4 linked regions of the Elephas maximus indicus genome follow. The protein of the gene in region 1 interacts with the protein of each later gene in a pairwise test. Links are inferred from orthologs where the notes say so. Each region holds a gene or a part of one and is shown on either strand. Other genes may lie near its edges.

Region 1 (6,825 bases):
CAGGATGCCCTGGTAAGTTTGAGTTTCAGATGAATAAGGAATATTAGTACAATAAAACCTGCAAAAGCCAGAACCTGTGTAAAGTGGAAATCTGTCAGAGAAGGAAAACTCAAACATTTCCCACTAAAACGAGTGGTACAAAAGTGTCAAAGGTGGAAAACTTGCGATACCCAGAAAAATGAGGCAGGCCTGTCGAGTTCCAGCTCTCACAGATTTCACTGTACATGTAGTCCCATACTTAAAATGGTTCTGTTCCAACAACTTAGTCATAAGTCAGTCCTGATGTAAATCAAATACCTAATTTTTTAGTTTTCATTATTATTGCCTTTTATTATCAGTATCTTTATAAATCTGATCTTTATTTCTCTTTGGGGGTTGGAAACATACATGTAAACTTACAGATATATTTTAATACATACAAAAAATACACAAATCATAAAAATTTACTCCTACGAAGAAGAGTTGGACAACATTGGCATTTTGTCAGTTGTGGTAACTCACTTGTGGAAGGTTCTGGATCATCTGGATTATATCTGGGAATGGAGATGTCGTTTCTAGTCAGAAAATTAGTGAGAGTAGTCTGTATGGTCCTTTTCTTCATATATTTCCTGGTAACGTATCTCGGCTTCCCAAATCTGCCTATCGACTTTAGCAGAGCGATCAGCATTTGGGTCCATGTTGTCAAGCAACTGAAGACCATGATTTAGTTCAGAAAACAAGTCAGCTAATCCTTTCACTGTAAAATTTTTTGACAACTTCCTCATTATTGGACAGGCCTTAACGACCTTCATTTTTATATCCATGTCTAGAACCTTCCTCACCTTCTTTTTTGGATTAGAACTTTCAGCGGCTTGACTTCTTTTACTAGACATATTGTTGGGGGTATAAGCAGTACAAGTGTGAGTTAGAGAAACTTGAACAACTCAACTTCAGATTAACAACTGATGCTTCTTATGGTACCAGATGCTGAATAAGATCACACCATAGGCCTGGTCTACAATGAAGTCAGCATCAGAGTCAGAACAATGAAGCTAGAGTTGTAACCGCTGTCAGGCGCTAACGCAGCTCAATTGTGTGTGTCCTTAGAGCTGAACATTGCTCAGCTTTCTATCCTTTTAAGACTCCAGACACCAATACCGACTTCACTGTAGACCAGGCCATAGCTTGCTTTGAACAGTCAATCATAAAACTGAACATTTTAGAGTGAACATCTGAGAACAATAACATTAGCAAATTACATGCAGCAACATTACATGCAATACATATTACTAATGGTAAGAGAAAACAAAAATCCTCACAATTGGACCAATAACCAACATTATGACAAATGGATAAAAGATTGAAGTTATTAAGGATTTCATTTTACTTGGAACCACAATCAATGCCCATGAAGGCAGCAGTCAAGAAATCAAAAGATGCATTGCATTGGGAAAATCTGCTGCACAAGACCTCTTCAGAGTGTTAAAAAGCAAAGATGTCACTTTAAGGACTAAGGTGTGTCTGACCCAATCCATGGTGTTTTCAATCGACTCATATGCATGCGAAACCTAGGCAATGAATAAGGAAGACCAAAGAATTGATGCCTTTGAATTATGGTGTTGGCGAAGAACGCTGAATATACCATGGACTGCCAGAAGAACGAACAAATCTGTCTTGGAAGAAGTACAGCCAGAATATTCCTTAGAAGCAAGAATGGCAAGACTTCAACTCACATACTTTGGACATGTTATCAGGAAGGATCAGTCCTTGGAGAAGAACATCATCCTTGGTAGAGAGTTGGTGAAAAAGAGAAAGACCCTCAACAAGATGGGTCAGAATTAACTCAATGGCAGTGGGTTTCAGCATCTGAAATTCTAATTTAACTGGCTGTACTAGTCTCTTAAGGAGCCTTGATGACAAGAGTTAAGCAGCTGCTAACAGAAAGGTCCGAGGTTCAAACCCACTAGCAGCTCTACGGGATTAACGATTTGGCAATCTGCTCCTGGTAGAAATTACCCTATGGGGCAGCTCTGTCCTGTCATATAGGGTCACTATGAGTCAGGATGGACTTTAAAGACAAGTGACATTAGTCTCCTGGGGCTTTGGTAGCAAAGTACCACAAATTTCGTGGCTTAAAACAACAGAAATTTCTTGTTTGGCTAGAAGTTTAAATCCAGGTGTCCACAGGCCATGCTCCTTCTGAATGCTCTAGGGGAGGATGCTTCCTTGCATCTTCCAGCTTCTGGTGTCCCCAGGCACTCCTTGGCTTGTGGATGCATCACTCCAGTCTCTGCCTCTCAGATCACATAGCCATCTTCCCTCTGTGTCTCTTGTCTTTTATAAAGACACCAGTCACACTGGATTAGGACTTCTCTCCAGTCACATTTACTTCCTCAGAGCAATAGGATGGATGGAGTGCATGGGGTTCATCCGGAGCACCCACTGAGGGCGCTGTAGGGGATAGGAAGGTGGACCACAGACTTCAGGGACCCGACAACCTCAGCCAGGGGACTCTGGAGGAAGGAAGGAGAGAAGGACGACTGGGGGTGGAAAGAAAAAGGGAAGAAGGGCAGAGAAAAATGAGGGAAGGAAGGAACGGAAAGGAGGAGAGAAAGGCTGGAGGTAGAAAAGGAGGGAAAGAGGTAGAAAAGAAGAATAAAAGAGTACCTAACAGTAGAGCACCTCAGGCCGTCCCTCCCCCTCCTCGGCTGGCCTCCCCTTCCCAGCCATCCAGCCCACAAGCCCCCACCGTCCTCGGAGCTGACACCTGGTGGAGGGGGGATTCTGAGAACATCTGTCCCTTCTGACCCCAAAGCGCCTCGGATTACAGTCCGGAGGCGAGTTAACCCTGAAGAAGGTGCCCTGTCCCCCTCTGTGAAGTTCGGTCTCAGAAGCCCAGCCGGCTTCGGGGCGCTGGGCTCTGCTGGGAACGAGAGGCTACAACGACTCCGACGAGGGATGAAGTCGCAGCAGGGCCACTTGTTTGCGAGCGAAACTTCCATACTTTCATTCGTTGCAAACACCGAAGACTCGAGAACTAGACTCTGGGTGCGCGGAACGGGGTCCTGCGGGCAGCGCCCCTCCCCCGCTGCCGCTGCCGCCGCCGCGGCCTCCCCTCCCCCGCTGCCGCCGCCTCCCCTCCCCTACGAGCCCGCGGTCCCGCGCCCCTCCCCCACCCAGGGCCGGCCCCCAGGTTAGGGACCATCCCCACTTACCCTCCCGTCGATCCTCCAAGCATTCGGCTTTCTGTACGGCCTCAGCTCATTGGGAAGATTCCAGGGACGCCCCGGCCAGGGTCTCGAACTGGCCAATCGCAAGAGGTTTCACAGGGCTCTGTATTCGGGGGATCGTCACCGTCCTGCGACGCTTGGGGGTTCCTTAGGCCTCAGTGGTCTCTGCCCGCCAGCGCCGGACCTTGACCCCAAGGAGACCCCCAGGATATATGCCCGGAGAGGTATCCGCCGGGCATCCGGGGAGCTCTTGGCGATCTCTGTCTCCCATTTCCCCCCTTGCTTGCTGGCGTGTCCTCGGGTGGACGCGCGCTTCCCGAGGAGGAGTTTCTAGACGCTCCCTCAAATTGGGGACGCGGCTCCTTTAAGGGCGCAGGTGTCTAGGCCTTCGCCTGACGGGAAAGTCGGCGCCAGACCGGGCTCCCGGGGAGGGCCCGGGCCGCGGGCGCGCGGCGGACGGCCGCAGGCGGCAGAGGACGCACGGTAGTTTGAGCGGCGCGGGACGTGGGGCTGCAAGAGCTGCGCGCGGGCCGGGCGCGCGGCGGGCAGCCCTGCGCAGGCCCCGCCCCGCCCCGCCCCGCCCGCGCCGGGGTCCTCGGAGCTGCTCAGGCTGCGCGCGGAGCGGGCTCGGGAGAGAAGTCCCGAGACAAAGAGAAGAGCTGCTGTTTCCGTCGCCTCCGTCGTCGCAAGGCTCTCCGCTCTTCGCGACTCGCCGGGCCGCGGCCGCCGGAGGTGAGCGCGGCCGGGAGGGCGGAGACCGCGGGAGCCTCCGGCCGGATCAGGCCGGGCGGCGCTTGGGCCACGGGGCGCCGGGCCGGCAGGCGCGTAGGGTCGGTGGGGAGGCCGCGGACTGCGGGGCCTGGCCGGGGTCGGGCGCGGGGTCCTAGGGCGGGCGAGCGGCCTACCCCTCCCGCGCCCGCCCGCCCAGCGCCCGCCTCCCCGATGCCGGGCCGCGGTCGGGACCCCGCAGTCCGCGGCGGACGGGGCTGGGCTTTCTCTCACCTTCTGGAAGGGGCTGAGAGGGAAGGTTGTCTGTGCTTCGAAACTTAATTCTGCTCGCCGAGTTGTGAGCTGCCGGGCTACGGGATGAGCTTCCGGGCCGTCCTGCCTTCGTTCCCAGCGTGGGGTTTTTCGGGTGGACAGCGTCCCCGTGGTTCTCTGGGGTCACGTCCCGGCCGCGCTCCTGGAGTTCCCATCACTTTCTTTCCTGAAAAGGGGGGAACATCCTTCTCTCTGGTGCGCCAGGCGGCCTTGCAGAGGTGCTGTGTGGCGCGCGGAGAGCGGAAAGGAGCCCGTAGCTCCGGAGCTGGGAGAGCTGAGGCCGGTGTTGACAGGAATGCGGCTCTGGAGGACGGCCGCACCAACCCGAAGCGCTCCTTTACCTTTGGGGAAATTAATTTCCGGGGTCACAGGGATGGACAGCAAACGTCTGGCGTCTTCCAGCCAGGGACAGAATGGACAGCAGGGAGTTGAAAGTCTTTCGTTGCAAAATCGCGGGCCCCTGGTGGGGGAGGCACGGGGGGATGCTGTTTGTGGTGTCTTCAAATCTCAAAACAAGGCTAAGTTTTCTTGCTGCTGTAGCGGCTGTCCGTGTTGTGGAGTTGGTGGGAGTCTGAAGATGAGCGCCTCACTTTAGGGAGAGTTTTTAAGATTGTTTTGTACCACTTAAATGGTGGTTGGAACTGGTAGGTAGTTGAGTAGGAGCAAGGGAAGGGAGTGATTAGTTGGGCGCTTGCTGGGGGCCTCCAGTCACCCTGAAATCCCAAAATCAACTCTTTTGGTTTTTGTAATCTTAAATTATGTTTAGTTCTTCAGTTTGCAAAGTTACTGTATTTTTTTTATTTCTATTTTAAAGATGTTTCACCTAAATGTTTTTTGCTACAGGAGAATCTGTGAGAGCTGGAACTTGACAGGACTATTTTGTTTTTCCTGGTCTCGCAAGTTTTCTGCCTTCGACAGTGTGCAGTCACCACTTTTTTGTCGTTCTCTATTAGTGAAACCCAGGTGGCATAGTGGTTAAGTGCTGTGGCTGCTAACTAAAAGGCTGGTAGTTTGAATCCATCAGGCGCTCCTTGGAAACCCTGTGGGGCAGTTTTACTGTCCTGTAGGATCTCTGTGAGTCAGAATTGACTCGATGGCAATGGGTTTGTTTTTTTTATTAGTGAAAAATATTCTTAATTCTTTTTTTCTGACAGGTTTCCACCTTACACAGGTTCCGGCTTTCGCAGGTTTACTGCATTAAGAAAATGTTGCTTTGGCATGGAGGACCTATCCAACTGGAAGCAGAGATTGATCCTGTGTTTGTTCTGATTTTTCTACAGAGAAATCCGACCCCAAACCTCTTCAGTGGTTAAGCAATGAATTCTGCACCCTCATGTGCCAGGGTGGAAATACTGGGTTTGTCAGCTGTGTCTCGAGGTTTGGGACCTTGCTTCAGAGACAGCCTGGGGTCCTGAGGTAGATCCACGAAAGAACTGGAGGGGTGCAGCCCAGGCATGAGGTTCTCCTGAGTGCCGGGTGCTTGGGCCTGCAGAGGTGGGTGCTTTTGTTTATGCCCCACCTGGTCCCACATGGGAGTCCCAGGCTTGGAAGCCTTTGGATTTGGATGGAGAAGGGCCAAGGCAGTGGGTTTGGGTTTGCTGGTTTGTTTTTTCTTTATCTGTTTCATCTTTAGTAGAATCCAGGGCTTTAAACCAGCCACTGCTGAGAATTTGCATTTCTAACAAGTTTCCTGCTGAGAGTTTGCATCTCGAGTTCCTAGGAAGTTATACATAAAAATCATGTGGGGATCTTGTTAAATGTGGATTCTGGTTCAGTGTATCTGGGATGGAAAAGCCCTGGCTATCACCCTTTTTGCAGATGAGTCAGTTGAGGTTGAGGAGAGATAAGAACCTTGCCCTCACTCCCACAGCCAGGAAGTAGCAGTGAAGTTCTCAGCTAGCGAGGCCTCATCTGAGAAGAGCCATGTTAAGAGGCACAGCCCCGCTGGAAGCCCAGGAGGATGGTGGAGGTGCAGGTCTTGGAGGCTCTGCCTGGGGTCCGCCCTGTGGGGTGTTTTTTACCCTGCCTGTCTCTAGCACTTCACAGTGAGAGCCTTTGCATCGTAACCGTCCTGCTCTGAAGTGCCTGGTAACGCTTAATACTCGTTAACTGAGTTTCCTTGCATTGAGGAAGGTAGATTCGATGATTTTAAGTGGGATTAGGATCGTGGCTACTTGTTATAATTAAAGATGTAACAATTGCCTGCATTCTCCTGACAGTGGTGGTTTTAGGAACGGACGGGCGGATCTTGGGGGCCCAACCTCTGCCTGGGATGGGGGTGGGTTTGCACCTTTAGTTCTTTGTCTTGATGCTGAAGCATTCTTTCTGTGTGTGATCTGGTCCATCAGGGTGGGAAGAGGGGCTCTTGGGCTCTTACAGGCACCTCTGGCACTGAGACTTTGCAGAACTGCCCCTATTATCTTTCACATGGTCAGAGGCGCCAGGATGGGCCTCCCTGGGCAGCTCTGTTCCATTATTGGAGCAGAGGCTGTGGCAGGTCCGGCACAGGGACTCCCAGGATCGCCGTGCTGCCAGCTCCTGAGTTTTACTTCGGCCCCAGCCCTTCCAGAGTGCA
Region 2 (7,280 bases), on another chromosome or scaffold:
CTATATATTAAAAATTATTATATGTATTTAATATATAATGTATTATATGTAATTTAGAAGCATGTGTTATGTTCTGGTGATTCAAAGTAGAAATCAAAGCACAAAATACTAATGCCAATCATTCTCTTTTTATATATTTGTTTACACACATATAAATTATTTTCAAATTAATGATAATTACATTAATATGATTATTAATAAACTATAATTTATTGTAATCATATATTTTGTTGTTGTTAGTTGCCATTGAGTCAATCCTGACTCACGGTGAACTCCTGTGTCCAGAGTAGAACTACTCCATAGGGTTGTCAAGGCTGTGACAACAAATTGCTGGGCCTGTCTTCCAAGGTGCCTCTGGGTGGGTTTGAATCTCCATCCGTTCAGCTAGTAGTTGAGTGTTTAATCCTTTGTGCCATCCAGGGACTCCTAATTATATATGAATAGAATAAATATCCTATATATATGTATGGTATCTTTTACTATTTTATTTCATATCATATATATTACAAATATACATTTAAAACATATATCACATATTTTATATCTATCTATCTATCTATCATCTATCTATCTATCTATCTATCTATCTATCTATCTATCTATCTATCTATCTATCTATCTATCTATCTATCTATCTATCTATCTATCTATCTATCTATCTATCTATCTATCACAAACAGTGACAGGACCTCCCCTTTCTTTCCCCTCAACTCACTTCTCATGACCAAAGGATGGGCTAGTTGTAAGAAAGGTCCCCTGGATGAGAAGTCAGGGGGCATGGAGTCTATTCATGGCTTTGCCATAACTGTGGGACCCCAGGCAGTCCATTTAATCTCTTTCTCTTGTTTCCTCAACTTTAAGATGATGGGATTTGACTAGGTGATCTCCCAGATGGACTTTTACTGCACCAACTCTATATATCCTTACCATCTATTATAGTGAATCTTTAATAAGGCATGTGCTTTTCTGAATTGCTTTTCAAGTAAACAGAACAACCCAGGGGGACCCGTGAATATGCCTAGATGATAGGACGGAAAGGACCTGGGCAACAAGCTTTAGTTCTGGCTCAGATGATACAGCCAGCTGTGGGACTGGAAGCAAGTACTTCTGATTTCTGGGACTCAATTTCCCCATTTGGAAAGTGTAGGAAGCGACCTATATGATATTTTAGCTCTCCACAAGCTTTGATCTATGATTTCACAATCATTTACACAAGCAAATGGGCAAATGTCATCTGAATAAAGAGAATGGTAGTTTGACATTAGCATTTTGTGCTTTGATTTCTATTACGTAACACCAGCTCATAACCCCGGCAGATTTTTTTTTTCCCCAAATTAAGCATTACTTTTCTCACTACTAACCATACATGTTGAAAGCGAAGAGCACTCGAAGCACTTGCTGGTGAAAATCAAAGACTACAGCCTTCAGTATGGATTACATGTCAACATAAAGAAAACAAAAATCCTCACAACTGGACCGATTACATAATATCATAATAAATGGAGAAAAGACTGAAGTTGTCAAGGATTTCATTTTATTTGGATCCACAATCAACATCCCTGGAAGCAGCAGTCAAGAAATCAAACAATGTATTGCATTGGGCAAATCTGGTGCAAAAGACCTCTTTAGAGTGTTAAAAAGAAAAGTTGTCACTTTGAGGACTAAGGTGCCCCTAACTCAAGCCATGGTGTTTTCAAATGCCTCATATGTGCATGAAAACTAGACCACGAATAAGGAAGACCAAAGAAGAATTGATGCCTTTGAATTACGGTACTGGTGAAGAATACTGAATATACTATAGACTGCCAGCAGAACAAACAAATCTGTCTTGGAAGAAGTACAACCAGAATGTTCATTAGAGGTGAGGATGGCGAGACTTGTCTCACATACTTTATACATATTATCAGGAGGAACCAATCCCTGAAGAAGGACATCATGCTTGGTAGAGTAGAGGGTCAGCAAAAAAGGGGAAGACCCTCAGTGAGATGGATGGGCACAGTGGCTACACCAACGGGCTCAAGCATAACGATTGTGAGGATGGTCAAAGATGAGGCAGTGTTTTGTTCTGTTGTACATAGGGTCGCTATGAGTCAGAACCTACTTGACAGGACCTAACAACAACAACAATGGTGGCACAATGGTTAAGTGCTTAGCTACTAATCCAAAAACTGGCAGTTTAAACCCACCAGCTGCCCCATGGGAGAAAAGATCTGGAGGTCTGTTCCTGTAAAGGTTACAGCCTAGGAAACCCTATGGGGCGGTTCTACTCTGTCCTATAGAGTCATTACGAGTAGAAATGGACTCAAGGTAACCCAACAACAACCCAGCCATACTCCAATATAAAAGCTAGCAAAAGATCTATCGAAACCTTGCTCCAACCCAGGTCTTCTAATGATGACTAACAGAGGAAAAGTTTGTGGCTAATCAGAATATTCTTCTGAAAAAAAGATGACATCAGGGCTCTTGGGTCAGAGACAACTGTACTGTCTATTCAGGATCAAATTGAACCCCATCCAGAGACCCCACCAGAACAGAGCTGGGGGGCATCCTCTGACCCAGACTCCCTCCACCCCCCACTTCACTGCAAAATTCCTGTGAAGAGTGATGAGACCTGAAGAAGTTCCGAGACCAAACCAGCAGTTGAACCAGTTAAGCAGTGGCTGACATGGTTGGTGAAGGCACACCCCACACTCACCCTCCAAATCGTTCCTCAGTCCAAATTTCCAAAAACTCTCTTACAGAACCTGGTAGTCAGGTATCCTCTCAGAATGAGTTCTGAGTAAACTCTACCTGGAGGACTTTAAGCAAAACCAATCGTGTCTGTCCTATATTGTTCTATAATGTAGAAATGTCCCTGCAGGGTTCGATTCCTCAGTTGTCCTGAAAAGGCCTTATATTGCAGCCCAAATTCAAATACTCAAAGAGATGAAAAATACCACATTTTGGTAGAAACTGAAGACACTCCACCTTGTTCAGTCCCACCACCCTGAATAGGGAACTGCACCGGAACATGCCTTTATCATCTCTCCTCGACCTTCTCCTCATCAAGACTACACTTCTTGAGAATAACGAAAAAATGCACATGAGCACCCGAATGCATACATGCACCTTACCAAAAAAAATAAATCCCTGAGAGTGAAATGTAATTACCAGGGTAAAAAAAAAAAAAATGCACCCAGTTTCCAGAGCCTATCACATCTTGCGCCTCAGAGCAGCTCCCCCCAACACTGCTCCTGTTGTGTCAGATAGTGGCAGTGTTGAGCCCGGGAAGCGGCGCCGAGCCCGCGGCGGTCCCCGCGGCCGCCCAGTCTCCGCGCCTGACTCCGGCGCGCAGGAGCTACTGGGCCGCGAGGGCGCTGGGGAGCGGGAGGGGCGCGGGAGGCGGCGAGCGGTCCCCGAGCGGCCTCCACGAACTGTTTGCCTTCTCCCCCTGCCAGAGCTCCGCTCCCTCCAATTGACCGAAATCCCCCGAGCGCGGGGGTGGCGGGAGAGGTCGCTCGCTCGCTCGCTCCAGGCTGCACCTCCCCCGGCTCCCGCGGGAAGCGGCTCCCGGGCCCGGGAGGGAGCCGTGTGGCCGCCCCCTCCGAAGCAGCTGGCGGGGTGGCGGTCCCTGCTCTGCTCGGCCGCGCCGCGCTCCGACCCTCCCCCTCCCCAGCCCGCGCCCTCCCCCTTCCTTTCACTAGGACTCTGGGACTCGGGAGAGGGCGCGGGAGGCAGGCGCACGGGCCCGACCCCACTCCAGCGCGCGCCGGGACGCGGCGGGCGGCGAGGGGCGCGGCGGGGGCGCGGGGCGGGCGCGGCCATGGAGCGGCGGCGGCGGCGGCGGCGGCAGCACTAGCGAGCGCTGCGGACGAGCAGCGGCAGGGCCGCCCGGCGCCGCGGCCCCAACTGCACAGCTCAGCAAAAGCGCCCTCGCCCTACGCGCGCCGCCTCTGCGCGCCGGAGCCCGGCAACATTTTTGAAAGCTTCACTCCATCCTTGGAAGAACGGGGGGGTGGGGGGGGGGAAGCAGTGACCGGAGAGACGGGGAGAGAGAGACATAATTTTTTTTTTTTTTTTTTTGGCTCCTGCTAAAATTAGCCGGGCTCTCCGCGCGCCGTGCGAGTGTGAGCGAGTGTGTGTGCGTGCGGCGTGTGTGTGTGTGAATGTGATTACTCCCGGACTCCTCGGGCTCCGGAGACGCCATTTTCCCCCTTGATATCTCTCTCCAGAAATCGGTGGCGCGGCGGAGGCGGCCGCGCCGGGCGGGAAGCGCGGGGCCAGCCGGGGCGCCCGCCGCTCGCCGCCGCCTCCGCGCGCCCGGGGGCCCTGGCGCCCCCCCGAGCGAGGGCAGCCCGCCCGCGGCTTGCCGTTTGACAGATGCTCATCGCCATGGAGTTGCAGCAGCAGCACCTTTGGGGGCTCGGCCGAGCGACCGGAGCCAGGATCTGAGCGAACACCGGGGCCAGCGGAGCCGCTGCTGCCGGGACATGGGTGAGCACGCGCGGCGACCTTGGACAGGGAGCCCGGCGCCTAGCCGCCTGCCGCGCCGCTGGCCCCGGTGCGCCCGGGGCCGGGGGCGGCGTGTGTGCCCAGCATGCAAAAGTTCACATTGCCTCGCCGGGGCTTTGACTTTGCACCGGGCGGGAAAGGGGAGACAGGGCGGAGGAGCCGGGATGCGGTTCCCGGTCAGGTTGCCGGGGCTGGGCGCGATTCTGGGCGGCCCGCGGGTGGGCAGCGATGCTGGCTCAATTGAAGTGGCCGGTTGGCGGCTGCGATAATGGAAGCGTCGGGCTGAAGGGCTGGGAGCTTTTTGAGTTTCGCCTAATTGGGCCCCCCTCCCCCCTTGTGCACCCTCCCTTGGTCCCGCCGCCAGCGGCCTGGGCTGGAGCGTATGGCTTTGGTGAAGTGGACTGGACTGGTCAGCAGGATGGGGCAGGGAAGGGGCTGGGAAGGCGGCAAGATATATGCATCCATACACACATACATATATATATATATATATACATTTTGCTCTCTTTGTAACTTGCAGGTTAAGTGGAGCTAGAGAGCTGCATTGTAACCTAGTTGGATTTTTTTTTTTTTTTGAAGGGGGTGAGGGGAAGGATGCGTCAGAATCTAACGTGTCCTTAGTAGAGGAACAGGGGAGAAGTGGTCCAGTCAGCGAAGGTTGGTGTGTGCTTGTGTTGTGGCTGTGTGTTAGTCTTTCTACGAGAATATTAATCAATGGATGTGAGTTTCTTGCTCGTGCTCTCCAGTTTTGGGACTCTGAAAAGACAGGAATTCCCTTAAAAGCAAGACGAATGCCTTTTTCTTTTTCTTTTTTTTTTAAAGCACGCATTGTGTGTGTGTTTCCAGAGGAGCCGTGGGCTTGGGAATTAACGGCAGGCTTCCCCGTTCGGTGGTTTCCAGTGGGAAATCACTCCGGAAAGGGAACCCTTCAGTATCGATTTATTGTTTTTGTCTTTCCGACCATTATCCTTTTGACCAAAATACTCGCTGAGAAGTTCCACCGAGACAAAGTGAGGTAAACTGGACTGGGCAGATCTTTAGCAAGATGGTGATAACGATGATGGTGTTTTTGGTGTCTGTTTGTGATGGAAGCATTGTTGGGTAATAGCAATTTCTGATCGGTACAGCATGCTGATTCTTAAAAAAAAAATTAGTTGCTGCTGAAATGCTATCTTCCTGTCCCCCTTCCCTACACTCTGCAAGCGCCCCCTCCCCGGTAGAACAATTCTGAAATCCGATCCAAGTGGAAATATTTGCATTGGAGATCGGAAAGTAGTGTAATTGGAAGTAGGAGATAAGGCTGGAGCTGCTAGGGGTGTGTGTGGGGGGGGGGCGCGTATTGCCTCCAATGCTGCATTTATTCTTTATGTGCGTCTGTGCGGGGTGTGTGTGTATCTGTCTAAAAGGACTGTTGAGGAAGGATTTCCGATTCGTTTCCGCTTCAAATAAACTGTCCTGATAATCTCATGGTTGACGTCTAATGGCTAAAAGGGCAATTTGTGTGTTTCTTTATCCCTGCAGCAGCTCCCCTCCAGAAGGGCAGTTTATTCTGGGATTCTACAGCAGCTACTCTTCCTTGCCAGTCCCTATTGCCCCCCACCTAACTATCCATACCTTTCTCCCTAAAGTTTGGTTGGAGTCCATGGTCTCTAAGGAAATACTGGGATTACTTACTCTTCTACATTGTTTTTCTTCACTTCCCTTTCATTCCTTCACTCTCTATCCTGTTTTTCTTCTTTTTCCTGTGGATTTGTACTAAAAAATAACGTCACAAAGTAGCTGTCAGCAATACGATCTGACAGTTTGGCCCCATCTCTTACCTCCTTTAGATTACACAGATAAATATGCTCTGCCCCTTCCAAACTCATCTTCAATGGCAAACCGGGTTTGTGTGTGTGCGTGGGGGTGGGGGTGGGGGCAGTGGAGAAGAGGGGGTGGGGGAGCGTGGAGAGGAAGGGTGTTGTTCTATGTCTGCCACATCTGCTACCCTGGGAAGAGACCTGGGCCACTGCAGGGAGAGTTTCCTTTGCACGTCCCAGTTAGATGTTGCTTGGCTAGGATTGGGAGGCGGGGCCAAGTGGCCTGCGGCGTGGAGGGCGGAGAAAGTTTGTAGCACTTTAAAATGTAGACAGTTTACAACACCTCCCTTTTCTCCAGCTTTCTGTGGCTTTCCTGATCCCTAAACTCCTGGAGGGAGGAGTGTTCTCATCTGGCCAGCCCTGGAGTCCCAGATTTCAGAGCGAAATTGAAGGTGCTGTGTTTTCGGGCTGCGCTTGATCAGATTGCCTGCTACCAGAAAAGAGTGTTAGAAGAGTGTTTGGGGGCAGAGCAGAAGAGGAGGAAGCCAGCAAGTGTGGTTGAACCCAGAGTATTTGCAAACTGTAGGGAGAGTAGCCCAAGAAGGTATGGAGACCTGGCGCTCAGAGAGTTCCGCTTGGCGCATGGCATCCCCCCTCCCGGTTTAGAATAAGTCTTGTTGGTCTTGGGGAGTTGAATTGGTTTAAGAGCTGGGCAGCGGGAGCTGCTAGCCACAAGAGTAACTTGAGCTGAGCTGGGGGAGGAGGTGGTGACTGCATGCAATCAGGAGCCAGAGGAGGGAACCTGAAGTGTCTCTCTTACCAGGGAAAATAGATGTGTCACTGGAATAAACAAACTGGAGGTGGGGGAGGGGATGGCTTGTAGTGAACGTTAGGAGGAGCTTGTAAGAGGCAGCAACCTTCGTTAGGAAGGGGGCCACTTCTAGCTGGGGAGAAAATATCAGCTGCCTTATACATTCATGACTGGGCTAG
Region 3 (6,833 bases), on another chromosome or scaffold:
AACTCTTCCTTTCATGAAAGAGTTCTCTGTAGCATGTGATGCTGTTTGATGGCATTTTACCTATAGTAGAACTTTTTTCAAAATTGGAGTCAATCCTCTCAAACCCTGCTGCTGCTTTATCAAACAAGTTTAGGTAATATTCTAAACCCTTTGTTGTCATTTCAACAATGGTCACAGCATCTTCACCAGGAGTAGATTCCATCTCAAGAAACCACTTTCTTTGCTCATCCGTAAGAGGCAACTCCTCATCAGTTAAAGTTTTATCATGGGATTACAGCAATTCAGTCACACCTCCAGGCTCCACTTCTAATTGTAGCTCTCTTGTTATTTCCACTACATTTACTGTTGCTTCCTCCACTAAGTCTTGAACTCCTCGAAGTCAAGCATGAGGGTTGGTATCAACTTCTTCCAAACTTCTGTTAATGTCGATATTTTCACCTCCTCCCATGAATCATGAATGTTCTTAATAGCATTTAGAATGGTGAATCCTTTCTAGGAGGTTTTCAATTGACTTTGCCCAGATCCATCAGAGGAATCACTATCTATGGCAGCTATAGCCTTCAAACTGTGTTTCTTAAATAATAAAACTTGAAAGTCAAAATTACTCCTTGATCTACGGGCTGCAGAATGGATGTTGTGTTAGCAAGCATGAAAACAACATCAATCTCCTTGTACATCTCCATCAGAGCTCTTGGGCAATGAGGTGCATTGTCAATGAGCAGTAATATTTTGAAACAAATCTTTTTTTCTGAGCAGTAGCTTGCTACAGTGGACTTAAGATATTCAGTAAACCATGTTTTAAACAGATGTGCTGTCATCCAGGCTTTGTTGTTCCATTTATAGAGCACAGGCAGAGTTGATTTAGCATAATTCTTAAGGGCCCTAGGGTTTTCATAATGGTAAATGAGCATTGGCTTCAACTTAAAGTCACCAGCTGCATTAGCCCCTAACAAGAGAGTCAGCCTGTCCTTTGAAGCTTTGAACCCAGGCATTGACTTCTCTTCAGCTGTGAAGGTCGTAGATGGCGTCTTCTTCCCGTATAAGGCTGTTTCATCTACACTGAAAATCTGTTGTTTACTGTAGCCACCTTCACCAATTAGCTTGATCTTCTGGATAACTTGCTGCAGCCTCTACATCAGCACGTACTGCTTCACCTTGCACTTTTATGTTATGGAGATGGCTTCTTTCTTTAAACCTCATGAACCAACCTGTGCTAGCTTCAAACATTTCTTCTGCAGCTTTCTCACCTCCCTCAGCCTTCATAGAATTGAAGCGAATTAGGGCCTTGCTCTTCATTAGGCTTTGGCTTAAAGGAATGTCTTGGTTTTCTAGTGCTGCTATAACAGAAATATCACAAGTAGATGGCTTTAACAAAGAAAAATGCATTCTCTCACAGTCTATAAGGCTAGAAGTCTGAATTCAGGGTGCTAGCTCTAGGGGTAGGCTTTTTGTCTCTGTAGGCTCTGGGGGAAGGTCCTTGTCATCAATCTCGCCCTGGTTGAGGAGCTTCTCACCACAGGGACCCCAGGTCCAAAGGATGCACTGTTCTCCTGGCTCTTGCTTCTCGGTGGTATGAGGTCCCCCTGTCTCTCTGCTCTTTTATATCTTAGACTAGATTGGCTTAAACTGTAGATTAATCTTGTAGAGTCAGTCTACATAACTACCGCTAATCCCATCTCATTAACATCATAGAGACAGGATTTACAACACATAGGAAAATCACATCAGATTACAAAATTGTGGTCAATCAACACAATACTGGGAATCATGATCTAGCTAAGTTGACATATTTTTGGGAGACACAATTCAATCTGTGACAGGGAACGTTGTCATTGGCTTGATCTTCTATCTAGACCACTAAAACTTTCTCTGTGTCAGCAGTAAAGCTATTTCCCTTTGGAAACCCTGGTGGCAGAGTAGTTAAGTGCTATGGCTGCTAACCAACAGGCCAGCAGTTCAAATCCTCCAGGTGCTCCTTGAAAATTCTATGGGGCAGTTCTACTTTGTCCTATGGGGTCGCTATGAGTTGGAATCAACTCGATGGCAGTTGATTTTAGTTTTTGGTATCATTCCTGTGTTCACTCGAGTAGCACTTTCGATTTCCTTTAAGAACTTTTCCTTCACATTCACAACCTGGCTAACTGGCGCAAAAGGCCTACCTTTAGGCCTGTCTTGGCTTTCGTCATGCCTTCCTCACTAAGCCTAATCATTTCTGGCTTTTTATTTAAAGTGAGAAATGTGTAACTCTTCTTTTCACTTGAACACTTAAAGGCCATTGTAGGGTTATTAATTGACCTAATTTCAATATTGTCATGTCTCAGGGAATAGGTAGGTCCTAGGAGAGGGAGAGAGATGGGGCAACGGCCAGTCGGTGGAGCAGTCAGAACACACACAACATTTATCGATTAAGTTCAAAGTATTATATGGGCGTGGTTTGCTGTGCCCCAAAACAATTACAGTAGTAACATCAAAGATCACTGATTACAGATTAGCATAACAGATACAGTAAAAATAAAAGTTTGAAATATTGTGAGCATCACCAAAATGTGACACACAGACAGGAGGTCATCACATACTGTTGGAAAAATGGCTCCAATAGACTTGCTCCATGCAGGGTTGCCACAAACCTTAAATTTGTAAAAAAAAAAAAAAAACGCAGTATCTGTGCAGTGCAATAAAGCAAAGCACAGTAAAAGTAGGCATGCCTGTATTTGTTTTTTTTATTTTTTAAAAATAGACTATTGAAGTATAATATAATTTACATACAGTAAAAATGTATTCACTTTATGTGTAGCATTCAATGAGTTTGGTTTTTTTGTTTGTTTTTTGGTTGTTTGCTTTTTGGTATGTTAGGTGAAAGCCTACAGAGCAAATTATATTCCCATTTCATAGTTTGCACCATAAATCGCTTCATGGTCTTGGTTTCATTCCCCAGCACATGTCATGCACTCTCCCCATTTCTGCTCTGGGTTTTCTGTTTCCTTTCGTCCTAATTTTCTACCCCTTCCTGCCTTCTCATCCTTGCCTTTGGGCAAATGTTGCCCTTTTGATCACCTATAATTGATTATTGTTTTTGTAAGTAACACGTTCCTCTCTGGTGTTATTGTTTATTTTATGGGCTTTTCTCTAGTTTGGCCTGAAAGTGGCCTCCGGAAATAGTTCCAGGTTAGAAGGGTATTTCAGGGCCATAGTCTCTCGGCTAAATATCTAGCTCTTGCTATTTTTTGCACACCATATACTTATGACATCTTCATTACTAGCTTGCAGGCTCCTGATGACTAGGGCCATGTCCTAATCACTCTTTGGGTCTGATAGAGTAGATGTTTAATAAATGTTTATTCAATAAAGAAGGTGTGGGGAAAAACATGGATCAGGAAAAATCTGAAAAGATGACTGTTCCTTTAGTTAATATCAATTATCAATCCGTTTCCAAACGTCTTCCCTTTTCTGCATTGTTCCTTTAGCTCTTCTCAATTTTGACTGAGGGTATCTGCGTCTCCCAGAATCGGGCCGCTAATTGGCTGCATACACACCTAGCCAGCTTCGAGGCCTGGCTGTAAAAACCGCTGAGTGCAGGGAATCCAGAATCTGCCCTCAAGCCACTCAACGCAACAAATCAGGAATTTCCGCCTGGCTGCCCTGAACTTCACCAGTCACAAGCGTTTCCTCCGAGTCCTCAGAGCTCCGGAAAACCGAGGAAGTTTCCGCTGCATCAAGAGAACAGCCGCTCCACTACGGCCGCTAGGGGGAGCCGCAGTGCCGCCGGGGGCCTGAGGGGGCGCGCGCGGCCCAGCCCGACGGGAGGAGGAGCGCAGGCGGGGACAGCGCGCGAGGCGTGAGGCGCTTCCTGTTCCGGCGCCAGGAGGAGCCGCGCGCCGCTAGTGCTGTAGCTGCTGCTGTCGTCAGTCAGGCTGCGTTCGGTTCTTCAGCGCCCAGTTCTCTGGGACCCATCGTCGCCTCTAGACTTTGTTTCGGGGTCGGATCTTGCCGGGTGAGGCTGCTTCGGCGCTAGTGATGGTGGTAGAGGGTGGCGGGGGAGCTCAGGTTGAGGGGCTGGCGGGCGCGCCCAAGCGGGAGGCGGGCGCGGCAACCGAGGTGCCTTGAGTCATCTCCAGTGCTTGGGCTGTGGTTCCTCACGTAAGATTCTCTCGGCCACCCCGCTGCGGGTTCGCCTCCCGGATCACCCCCAAGGAGAAGGCGTCGGAGGCCGGTGACGTCACGCCCGGCGGGTTTGTCCGCCCTCGATGTCAGGCCTGGCTCGGGGGACGGGGGAGGAGGCGGGTAGCTGGCCTGCCCCTCCCCCACCCCGACTCGGCGAGCGCGACCCGCTCCGTGGCCGGTTCGCTCTCGTCAATCCCGCATTCTCTTTGTTCATTTGGTCCCAAAGGGCTGCCAGCCTCGTGCCCCTTGGCCCTGACCCTCTGAATTCATTAATTTCTAACGAAAAGGGAGCGAAATACTCGCATCGAGCCTTAGAGGAATCTCTGGCGCTTATTTAAGATTTCGCAGTTGTGACAACGTTGTGCTTATTTCTGACTAGAAGAGTTGCTAACAGATACATCAGATGAATCGCCATGACAGAAACTACCAGAGGTGCTGAGTTCTGTAAGACTCTTTCGGGCTGAGGAGCCCATATTGTGCATTGTAGTTTATATAATTAGCCTAGTCTTTGACCTCGGAAACCAAGAATAGACAATAGGTGCTAATGCAGCAGCAAACTAACTTCACTTGACTGAAAATTTTTTTACACACTTGTACACTTGATGGTTATAAAGCCCTGTTTTGAAAACCTCAGTACAGGTAGCCTTCAGAAGGAATTTGTTCAGTAGTGTTCTTTGGGCAAGAAGAATAGGTATTTTTCTTGCTTCCTAGTCAAAACTAGTCTGCCTCACAGACTTAGTTGTTCTTTTCCTCTCTCCAGGCAGAATGGTAATATCTGCCCCCAGTCCCTTAACCCAAACCCTTGGGGTCACTATGTTTGGAATTCAGAAATTTTTAGATTTTAGAAAGATAATATGGTGCCTAGGTGTGTAATAAAACTCCCGGCAGGGCTAAGGGACAACAAGCTGATAAAACCCACTGGCGTCGAGTCGATTCCGACTCATAGCAACCCTATAGGACAGAGTAGAACTGCCCCATAGAGTTCCCAGGGAGCATCTGGCAGAGTCGAACTGCCAGCCTTTTGGCTAGCAGCCGTAGCACTTAACCACTACGCCACCAGGGTTTCCACAACCTGATAATCCAGCATTAATATTTGTGTGGCAATAGGTTTGACTCTTCACTTTAAGTGGGGATCAGTTAATAAAAAGGTTATTAAAAAGATAGGAAAGTAAGAAAAGACCAAAATGGATGTCAGTAGAGACTCTGAAATTTGTTCTTGAATGTAGAGTAGCTAAAGCGAATGGAAGAAATGATGAAGTAGAAAAGCTCGACTGAAGATTTCAGAGGGTGGCTCAAGGAGATAAAGTATTATAATGAAAGGTTCAAACACCTAGAGTTAGAACAGCAAAAGGAAAGAACATATTCTACATTTCTCAAGCTGAAAGAACTAAAGGAAAAGCCTCGAGTTGCACTATTGAAGGATCCTATGGGTAATATACTGAACGATGCAGGAAGTATCAAAAGATGATGAAAGGAGTACACAAAGTTGCTGTACCAAAAAGAATTGATCTGGGTTCATCCATTACAGAAAGTAGCATATCATCAACAACTGATGGTATTGAAGGAAGAAGTCTAAGGTGTACTGAAGGCATTGGCGGAAAAACAAGGCTTCAGGAATTGACAGAATACCAGTTGAGGTGTTTGAACAAATGGATGCAGCACTGGAGTTGCTCACTCCTCTATGTCAAGAAATTTGGAGGACGGCTACCTGGCCAACTGACTGGAGAACCAGATCCATTCCAAAGAAAAGTGATCCAACAGGATATGGAAATTATCAAACTATCATAAATATCACACACAAGTAAAATTTCGCTGAAGATAACTAAAAAAATGGTTGCAGCAGTACATCGACGGTGGACTGCCAGAAATTCAAGCCAGATTCAGAAGAGGACGTGGAATGAGAAATATTGCTCATATCAGATGGATCATGGCTGAAAGCAGAGAATACTGTAAAGATGTTTATATGTGTTTTATTGACCATCAGAGACATTCAACTCTGTGGATCATAATAAATTATGGATAGCGTTATGAAGAGTAGGAATTCTAGAACACTTAATTATGTTCGTGAAGAACCTGTACATAGACCAAGAGGCACTCATTCAAACAGGACAAGGCGATACTACGTGGTTCATCAGAGTTGTATACTTTCACCGTAGTTAGTCAATCTGTATGTTGAGCAAATAATCTGAGAAGCTGGACTATATGAAGAAGAGGGCATCAGGATTGTAGGAAGACTCCTTAACAACCTGCAATATGCAGATGACACAGCCTTGCTTTCTGAAAGTGAATAGGACTCGAAGCATTTACTGATGAATATCAAAGACTACAGCCTTCAGTATGGAACCCTGGTGGCACTTGGCTGCTAACCGAAAGGTCGGCAGATCGAATCTGCCAGCCACTACTTGGAAAACCTATGGGCAGTTCTACTCTGTCTTATAGGGTCACTGCGAGTAGGAATCAACTTGACAGCAACAGGTTTGGGGGTTTTCTTTTTCCATATGGATTACACTTCAACATAAAGAAGTCATTTCTCACAACTGGACCAACTGAAGTTGTCAAGGATTTCATTTTACTTGGATTGATGCCCGTGGAAGCAGCACTCAAATAAAACAATAGTACATTGGGCAGATCTACTGCAGTAGACGTCTTTCAAGTGTTAAAAAAGCAAAGAT
Region 4 (7,082 bases), on another chromosome or scaffold:
TGAAAGCCCTGTGGTCCACAACCAGTCAGGGAGAAAGTGCAGGACCGAGCAGCGTTTCATTTTGTTGTGCGTGGGCTAGCCGTGAGTTGGGACTGACTCGATGGCAGCTACCGAGCAGCGTTTCATTTTGTTGTGCGTGGGCTAGCCGTGAGTTGGGACTGACTCGATGGCAGCCGCCAACAATATTGGCAATGACGCTGGCTGGCAGGTAACAAGGTCCCTGACTACGTACCACACTCCTGAACCTGGACAGCTGCTCAGAGCTGGCTTGCCAGCACCTGGGGACTCTTCCAGGTACTCTGCTCCTACAAACCTGAGTTAGAGCAGGCCTTGGGCCATTCTCTAGAGGATGTGGCCTGAAGGCAGCCCTTATGTGGTAAACGTCAAAAATGTCTCCTTGTACCCATGCCTTTGCCATATGACTTGACACCTCCTCCCACCAACACGTGAAGTCTGATTCTCCCAGCCCTTGAATCTGACTTGCTTTGGCCAACAGGGTACAGCAGAAGTGGCTGTGTGCCATTTCTCAGCTTGGGCCCCAAGTGGCCTTGGAACTTCCACTTGCTCTCTGGGAACCCACCCTGCTACCATGTGAGCAGGCCCAGAGTGGTTTGCTGAGGAGAGGGACCATGTGGAGGAGTTGTCCCAGGGGAGCCCTTCCTAGACCACCCTACAACCAGCTGACCTCCAACATGTGAGCCCAGCCAGGAACCAAAACCATCCAGCTGACTTGTAGACTCATGAGCAACAATAAATATCTATTATTTGAAGCACTGAGCTTTGGGGTGATTTTGTTCGAAAGCAATAGCTAACTGATATACCCTCAAGGGGTCCACAGTCTAGACGCCTGCCTCCCCACTTCCTGTATGAGCCCTTAGAAAGGGGATCAGCCAGGGGGGCATAAGGTCTAGCTGGTGCTGAGAAAGCTCTCTCTGAACCTTTATTTGCTGGACTGCCTAGAGAATTGACATTCTGCTTAAGTGAATTTTCTGGGTAAGTGCAAGTTAGCCAGAAGACCCCTGCTGACAATGTCTGAACTCAGATAGGCAGGGGTTCTTATCTTGGAGTTAAAAAAGCAGACTCTCACGCTCCGTCCACAGAGATTCAAGCTCTAGGGTGAAGCCCAAGTATCTGCTTCGAACCAGCTTCTATGAGAGGGACTGTGGGCATCCCAAGGGGCTAGTCTTTCCTCTAAGCTGGGGACATTTAGCAGGAGGAGGGAGCCAGGGATACTCACACTGTAGGTTCAGTGTCAAGGGAGGTTTGGGAGGCCACGGAGGCAGCTTCTGGGCATGAGAGTAACATTTGTAATGACTGTTTTTCAACATCACATTTTCAATATATTAAAATTATAAAGAGAAAATCCTAGCTTTTTCTTAAGCTTTGAAATTCAAATTACGAATCTTATTCTATTTATAAGTCTGATTGTTTTTAACTATCATTTTGATTAATCACTGACGGGCCCATTTATAAACTGAAATTCCCTTAAGCATTTTAAACTGCATTTATAAATGTAAAATCTGATTTTAACATTCCAGTTGTTTGACTTCCCAAGTGTTTAAATAATTTTAATAGATGTATTATATGTATATATCTCTCTTAAATTTACAAGTTCTCTTAAACATTCCAATTACGATCACAAACATTGGAAAAAGCTTTTATTTTTTCAACCTAAAATCACTATCAGATACTCAACCACATAATCTACATTGGATCACATTTATGTCAGACATTCCAACATGCCAAGTTCCCTTACTACCTCATAAAGTATCAACACACAGATTGTTGACGGGTAACTCAAAAATACTAATGCTCTGTTTTTCATAAGGGGCCCTGGTGGCTAACCAAAAGGTTGGCGGTTCAAACCCAGCAGCCTCTCCGAGGGAGAATGATGTGGCAGTCTGTTTCCATAAAGATTACAGCCTAGGGAGCCCTATGGGGCAGTTCTACTCTGTCCTATAGGATCACTGAGTCAGAATCAACTTGTCGGCAATGGGTAAGCGGTTCCAGATCTGCTTTGTCGTTGCCACGCATAGCTCAACCTTCCAGGATTAAAGACCTTCCCCCCAAGGAAGGAGTCCATCCCAGGGCATTTGGGGTGACCTTCTCACTGCCAGAGGGCGCCTAGGGACCAGAGATGATAGCCATGGCCTGAGTATTCTCAGGACAAGAGGACAAGCTGGGCTCTCTTTTCTGGTTGCCATGCCACGTTCAAGTCCAAACCTGGTGCCTAGACTCAAGCCCACCACCCGATTTACTAGTCCAATTCTGGTCTGCAGCCCTTACCAGCCAGGGGGCTAGCATGCACGTGTGCAATGCTGCATTGAATCTGCCCCACATTACCCCTCTGAGGTGGATATTGTCCCCCTATAACAGGTGAGGGCATTGTTGAGACTTGCTTAAAGGATGGAGCTGGGATTCCAATTCAGGCAGGAGGGGTTCAGTTTGCGACCTTTTGAACCCTAGAGTTGCCCAAGATATCCCAGAGGCCACTGAGCTCCAGGCTTCTGCCACCAGGCTGGCCTCGGCCATGGCCCCTCTCCCAGGGGACAGCTCAGGCAGAGGTGTTCCTGCACAGGTTCAGGTCCTCCTTTCCCCATGATTTAGGAGATAATATTAGAGCCATTATTCCATCCTAGAATGTGACCCAGCTGGAGCTGGAGTCACAAGGACCCTGAGGTATAAAAACAATAGCTAGGACAATCTTGGAAAACACCTTTCAGGGAAATTTTCACATAAACAAATCATAAATGGAGCATAAAAGACCCACATAGTTTCCACTCTTATCTTGTTCTATTAGCATTTAGTGAATAGTAAGATTTGTCAGAATAGTAAAGACCCTCCAGACTGTTGTTACTGAAACCTGTACCAATGATTATTAAGAAAGACTATTCAAAACATATGATCACATTTTCTAGCCAGCCTGTGAAAAGGTGAAACTTTCAACAGTTTTGCCCATTTGTAACGTTAATGTATACTGATGGTTCTGAAACATTCCTTGGACTCTGACAGACTTGGCTCTAGCAGCCATTCTTTCCTATTCTGTACTATATCGTTGGACTCGGGCAGATACGGCTCTAGCAGCATGCTTGTCCATTTTCCCATTCTTGCTTATTCTGTAATATTTCTTTGGACTCAGGCAGACATTACCTCTGGCAGCATCCTTGTCCGATTCCTACTTTTGCGTCTTTGAATATATGCCGGATAAAACCTTTCTTTTTGTTTTACTGCACTTTGTCATGTTTCTACCCAGAGCACCTACACCCGCGGGCCTAGCGATAGTCCACTGTTAACCTGGCCCCTGGCCCTGTCAGACCTGACTCTGCCTCCCCCCCCCAGCTGCTCCCCATCTCTGGGCGTCGGGCGCTGCGAAGCCTTCCGTCCCTGCATTTGCCAGTCAACCTCTCCTCCTTCCCTCCCTCACTCCAGCTTCAGGGACACAGGGCTCCCTCTTCTGGAACCCTCTCCTTCCAGCCCATCAGCTCTCAGCTCCAGAGTCACCTTCTCCCGGGACCCCTTCCAAGACCCCTGCAGCGGGCTGCAGGTCCAGGCCCCGCTTCTGGTGGAAGGTCAGGCTCCGAGCCGCGCCAGCCTGGGGGCCCGGTTCCCAGGCGAGGAAGCTGGGGCCCAGAGAGGGGCGGGGGCGGAGCCGGGATTCCGGCGGCGGAACGGCCGGGCCTGGGCTAACGTCCAGCCGCGTCCGGCCAGGAGCACGGGGCTGGTGTCTAGGGCTGTCACCCAGGCGGGCACTCGGAGCCCTCCAGGCTCCGGAGACCTCGAGTCGGGTCGGCACCGCCGGGAGCCGCGGTTTCAGCGCTCCGCCTGGCCGCAGACCACAACTCCCGAGAGGCCTTGCGGCGGGCCGGGGTCGAGAGGGCGGCTCTGCCCGGAAGGCGGGAGCTGGAGCACGCGAGCGTGGGCGGGGCCGGAAGGAGGCGCGTTTCAAAGTGGTAATAGATGGCTCTTTTATCCAATAGCATTGAAAATATCCCCACTGACCCGACGGGCCGAGGGCTAGGGGCGGTGACTGCCAATAGGGACGCGAGGGGGGCGGTGCCACGGCCTCTAGAGCGGAAGTGGACCGCTGGTAGGCGGCGGCGTCTGGCTGGAGGAGTGCTCCGCGGACGCTGTGGAAGGGTTTCTCCGTCTGGTCGCGCTGCCGGCGGAGGGCCGGACTAAACCCGCTCCAGGTAAGGCCCTGCGGCGTGGGGAGGGAGCGGCAAGTCAGCGTCCGGGAGGATTCGGGGCTCGCCGCCTCGCGGCTTGATGAGGCCTCAGCGCCCGCGGCTCAGAGTAGCCTCGGCGCGGCGCTGACCGGCTCAGGGCCCCGACGCCGGGCCTTTCCCCGCGATCTCGGGCCCACGTGGACGCCCGCTCTGCCGGCCGCACGGACGGACCGAGCCCGGCGCGTCAGCGGAAGTGGGGAGGCCTGGGTCTGCGTCTGGGCGCCCCCGGCGGGCGGCGCCGCGGGGCTTAGTCTCTAACTTGGGGGGGAAACTGAGGGCTCCGGACGCGTCCAAGGTCACTCGGGGAGTGTGGGCAGGACAGGCCAGGGCTCGGGGCTGTGCGGCCGCTTGGGGAGGCCTCGCGCGGGGTTTTTGTTCCCCACCGACGGCGCCTCCTTTGTGCGCTCGCGCCACCGCGGGTCTGGGCTCGTGGGCCCCGTGGGAAAGCCTTGTCTGGGCATGAACGGGGCGGAAGACGTGTGGGCGGCCGCTCGGGGAGCGCTGGGGGCCTGGCCCTGGGAGCGCCCCGCTCGAGCCCCGGCACCCAGTGGGCCCTCGGCACCGGGAGCGCCTGCCGACCCCGCTGGTGGCTGCGGCCAGGCCTGCCTGCCCCCCGCCCCTGCAGCGCTCTGCGCCCCTGCACACAGGTGTCGGCAGACTGACCCCAGACACCGTGCTCGGTAGACAGCTCTCCTCCTCCGCCTGTGGGTCCTTTGAAGAGGAAAGGAAGAGTCGGAGCCGTTTTTGCGGATATCGGGTTTTGTCTCACCCTCCAGCTGCCCCTCGACGTTGGCGATCACACCTCCTGCTTCTGCCCCCAGTTGTGGGATCTAGTCCAGCGGTCTCGGCTCTGCAGGCTTGCCTTGCGCCTAGGCTGCCGGGGCGATCCGGGAGACTGAGGCCCACAAAGGTCAGGCGGTCCGCCCAAGGGTGCACAGCCAGGTTCCTGACTGCAGAACTAAGCTTCTGAGGTGAACGACCAGGAGTGCTGGGGCCGCCAGCGATCAAAGGGTATCGAAGGGAGAATCATTTCTTCTCGTGGTTTGGTTTGGAAGAGGAGGGGAGACTTGTTTGGCTCACTTTTATCTGAGTTTGAGGTAAAAATGGGAACGTTCAAATGGAAATATATTGCTGGCTTTCGTATTGCCTGAATTTGAGCGTCCAACTCTGATGCAAAAATCTTTAATATAATGTTTTCTAGACCTTTTTCATTTGTTATTATCGTCAGCTCTCTAAGGGACCTTTGTAGATGTATTTTTTTCTCTAATTATTTTCCCCTATGAATTTTTTTTTTTAACTAACGTGTTCTAGGTGAAAGTTTACGCAATGAATTACCCCTTCGTCGAATCGACTTGATGGCAACGGGTTTGATTATTTTTTGTTTTTTAATGGTTACAGTTTTTACTGTCAGCATTCTCATTACTGGTGTTCAGTTTGTTCTGTTTCCACTGATCCAGCTTCACTCCCCCTTCTTGCCTTCTCATCTTTGATTTTGGGTAGATGTTGACCGTTCGGTCTCACGTAGTTGTTTAAGGGAGTACAGTCCTCATGAGTGATATTGTTTATTTTACAAGCTGATCTATTATTTGTCTGAAAGGTGAATTGCAGAAATAGCTTCAGTGACAAGTTCTAACGGTATCTTAGAGCAGTAGTCTGGGGGGATTTCTCTGGTCTCTATCAGTCCAGTAGGTCTGGCCTTTTTTTTTTTTTTTCAGGAATTTGTGCTTTCTACGTTTTTATCCCATTCAATCCACGACCTTCTGTTGTGTTCCTGGTCAGAACAGTCGGTATTGGTAGTCAGGCACCATCTAGTTCTAGTTCTGGTCTCACGTTAGAAGAGGTGCTGGTTTGCATGGGCTTTTAGTCCAGTGGAGTAGTTTCATCTTTGAGACTTTGATTTTCTTCATTTTCTTTTGCTCTATATAGGTAGAGACCAATAGTTATATTTTAGATGTTAAGCTTTTAAGATCTCAGATGCTACTCACCAAACTAGGATGTGGATCATGATCTTTGTGAATTACGTTATGTCAGTTGATTGTGTTCTGAGACTGTGGTCCCAAGTCTTTTAACTCAGTAAACCAATCCTGCAAGTTGTTTGGATATGTCTAGAAAGCCTCTGAAAACTGCCCCTGTGTGGTTTGTTATATATGCAGATACGTATATGCGTCAACCACAAACGTGCGTAAATGTACGTGTATGTGTCTACAGATACATCTGTGTGCGCGTGTGCATTTGCTCTCATGTTTTTCTGTATGTATATATTTGTCCGTATCTACCTGCTTTAGTATCCTAAGTTAGCACATTTTTGAGGTCTTCTGAGGTCTGTTCTTGGAAATGGTTCTGAGAGACATGCAGCAAGAGATAGGACTGGAAAAATAAACAGGGACCAGATGACCAGCGGTGTTTGGTGTGTCTCCACTTTGAGGAGTTTGGAATTTATTGTAAGGCCAGTGGAAAACCACTGAACTAAGTTTTAAGCACAAGGAAGTGACACAGTTAGAATCACATTTTAGAAAAAGCACTATGCTGTGAGAAGGATGGATTAGAAAGGTGGGTAGGACTAGTGGCCTAGGGATAGTTAGCGCCAGGATAGTGACTGTGGGAATGGAGTGAAATGGGTGTGTTTGAATCTGTGGAACTTGGTGCCTGTGCTTGTCAGCTGGCCAGTCATTCCAGTTCATCACTGGCTCTTAAAGGCTGTGAGCAGAGCCCACGTCCAGTAGTTCATACCCCCATTGGTTTCTGGAAAAGAGTTGAGGGTGCTGCTCAGTAAGTAATTGGCTTATACGCAGTATAAAAGTGAATTTGTAGATTCATTACGTGTGTTGGCAGTGTCCGTCTTTATTGAAATGGTTT

What was found.
Region 2: the proteins of UBE2I (region 1) and SETBP1 interact in a two-hybrid assay, tested with the Homo sapiens proteins (2 studies listed by BioGRID). The two-hybrid records come from large-scale screens. The link is inferred for Elephas maximus indicus from reciprocal best matches to the Homo sapiens genes UBE2I and SETBP1.
Region 3: the proteins of UBE2I (region 1) and MAPK1IP1L interact in a two-hybrid assay, tested with the Homo sapiens proteins (3 studies listed by BioGRID and IntAct). The two-hybrid records come from large-scale screens. The link is inferred for Elephas maximus indicus from reciprocal best matches to the Homo sapiens genes UBE2I and MAPK1IP1L.
Region 4: the proteins of UBE2I (region 1) and RNF4 interact in a two-hybrid assay, tested with the Homo sapiens proteins (3 studies listed by BioGRID and IntAct). The link is inferred for Elephas maximus indicus from reciprocal best matches to the Homo sapiens genes UBE2I and RNF4.

Annotation. Positions count from the first base shown.
Region 1 is NC_064830.1:58,456,663-58,463,487, forward strand, and holds the start of UBE2I (SUMO-conjugating enzyme UBC9), read left to right. Parts: upstream 1-3,801; 5' UTR 3,802-3,941; intron 3,942-6,825. UniProt on the Homo sapiens protein: Accepts the ubiquitin-like proteins SUMO1, SUMO2, SUMO3, SUMO4 and SUMO1P1/SUMO5 from the UBLE1A-UBLE1B E1 complex and catalyzes their covalent attachment to other proteins with the help of an E3 ligase such as RANBP2, CBX4 and ZNF451.
Region 2 is NC_064829.1:53,290,876-53,298,155, forward strand, and holds the start of SETBP1 (SET-binding protein), read left to right. Parts: upstream 1-4,278; 5' UTR 4,279-4,473; intron 4,474-7,280.
Region 3 is NC_064828.1:67,342,399-67,349,231, forward strand, and holds the start of MAPK1IP1L (MAPK-interacting and spindle-stabilizing protein-like), read left to right. Parts: upstream 1-3,831; 5' UTR 3,832-3,991; intron 3,992-6,833.
Region 4 is NC_064823.1:161,337,186-161,344,267, forward strand, and holds the start of RNF4 (E3 ubiquitin-protein ligase RNF4), read left to right. Parts: upstream 1-4,080; 5' UTR 4,081-4,190; intron 4,191-7,082. UniProt on the Homo sapiens protein: E3 ubiquitin-protein ligase which binds polysumoylated chains covalently attached to proteins and mediates 'Lys-6'-, 'Lys-11'-, 'Lys-48'- and 'Lys-63'-linked polyubiquitination of those substrates and their subsequent targeting to the proteasome for degradation.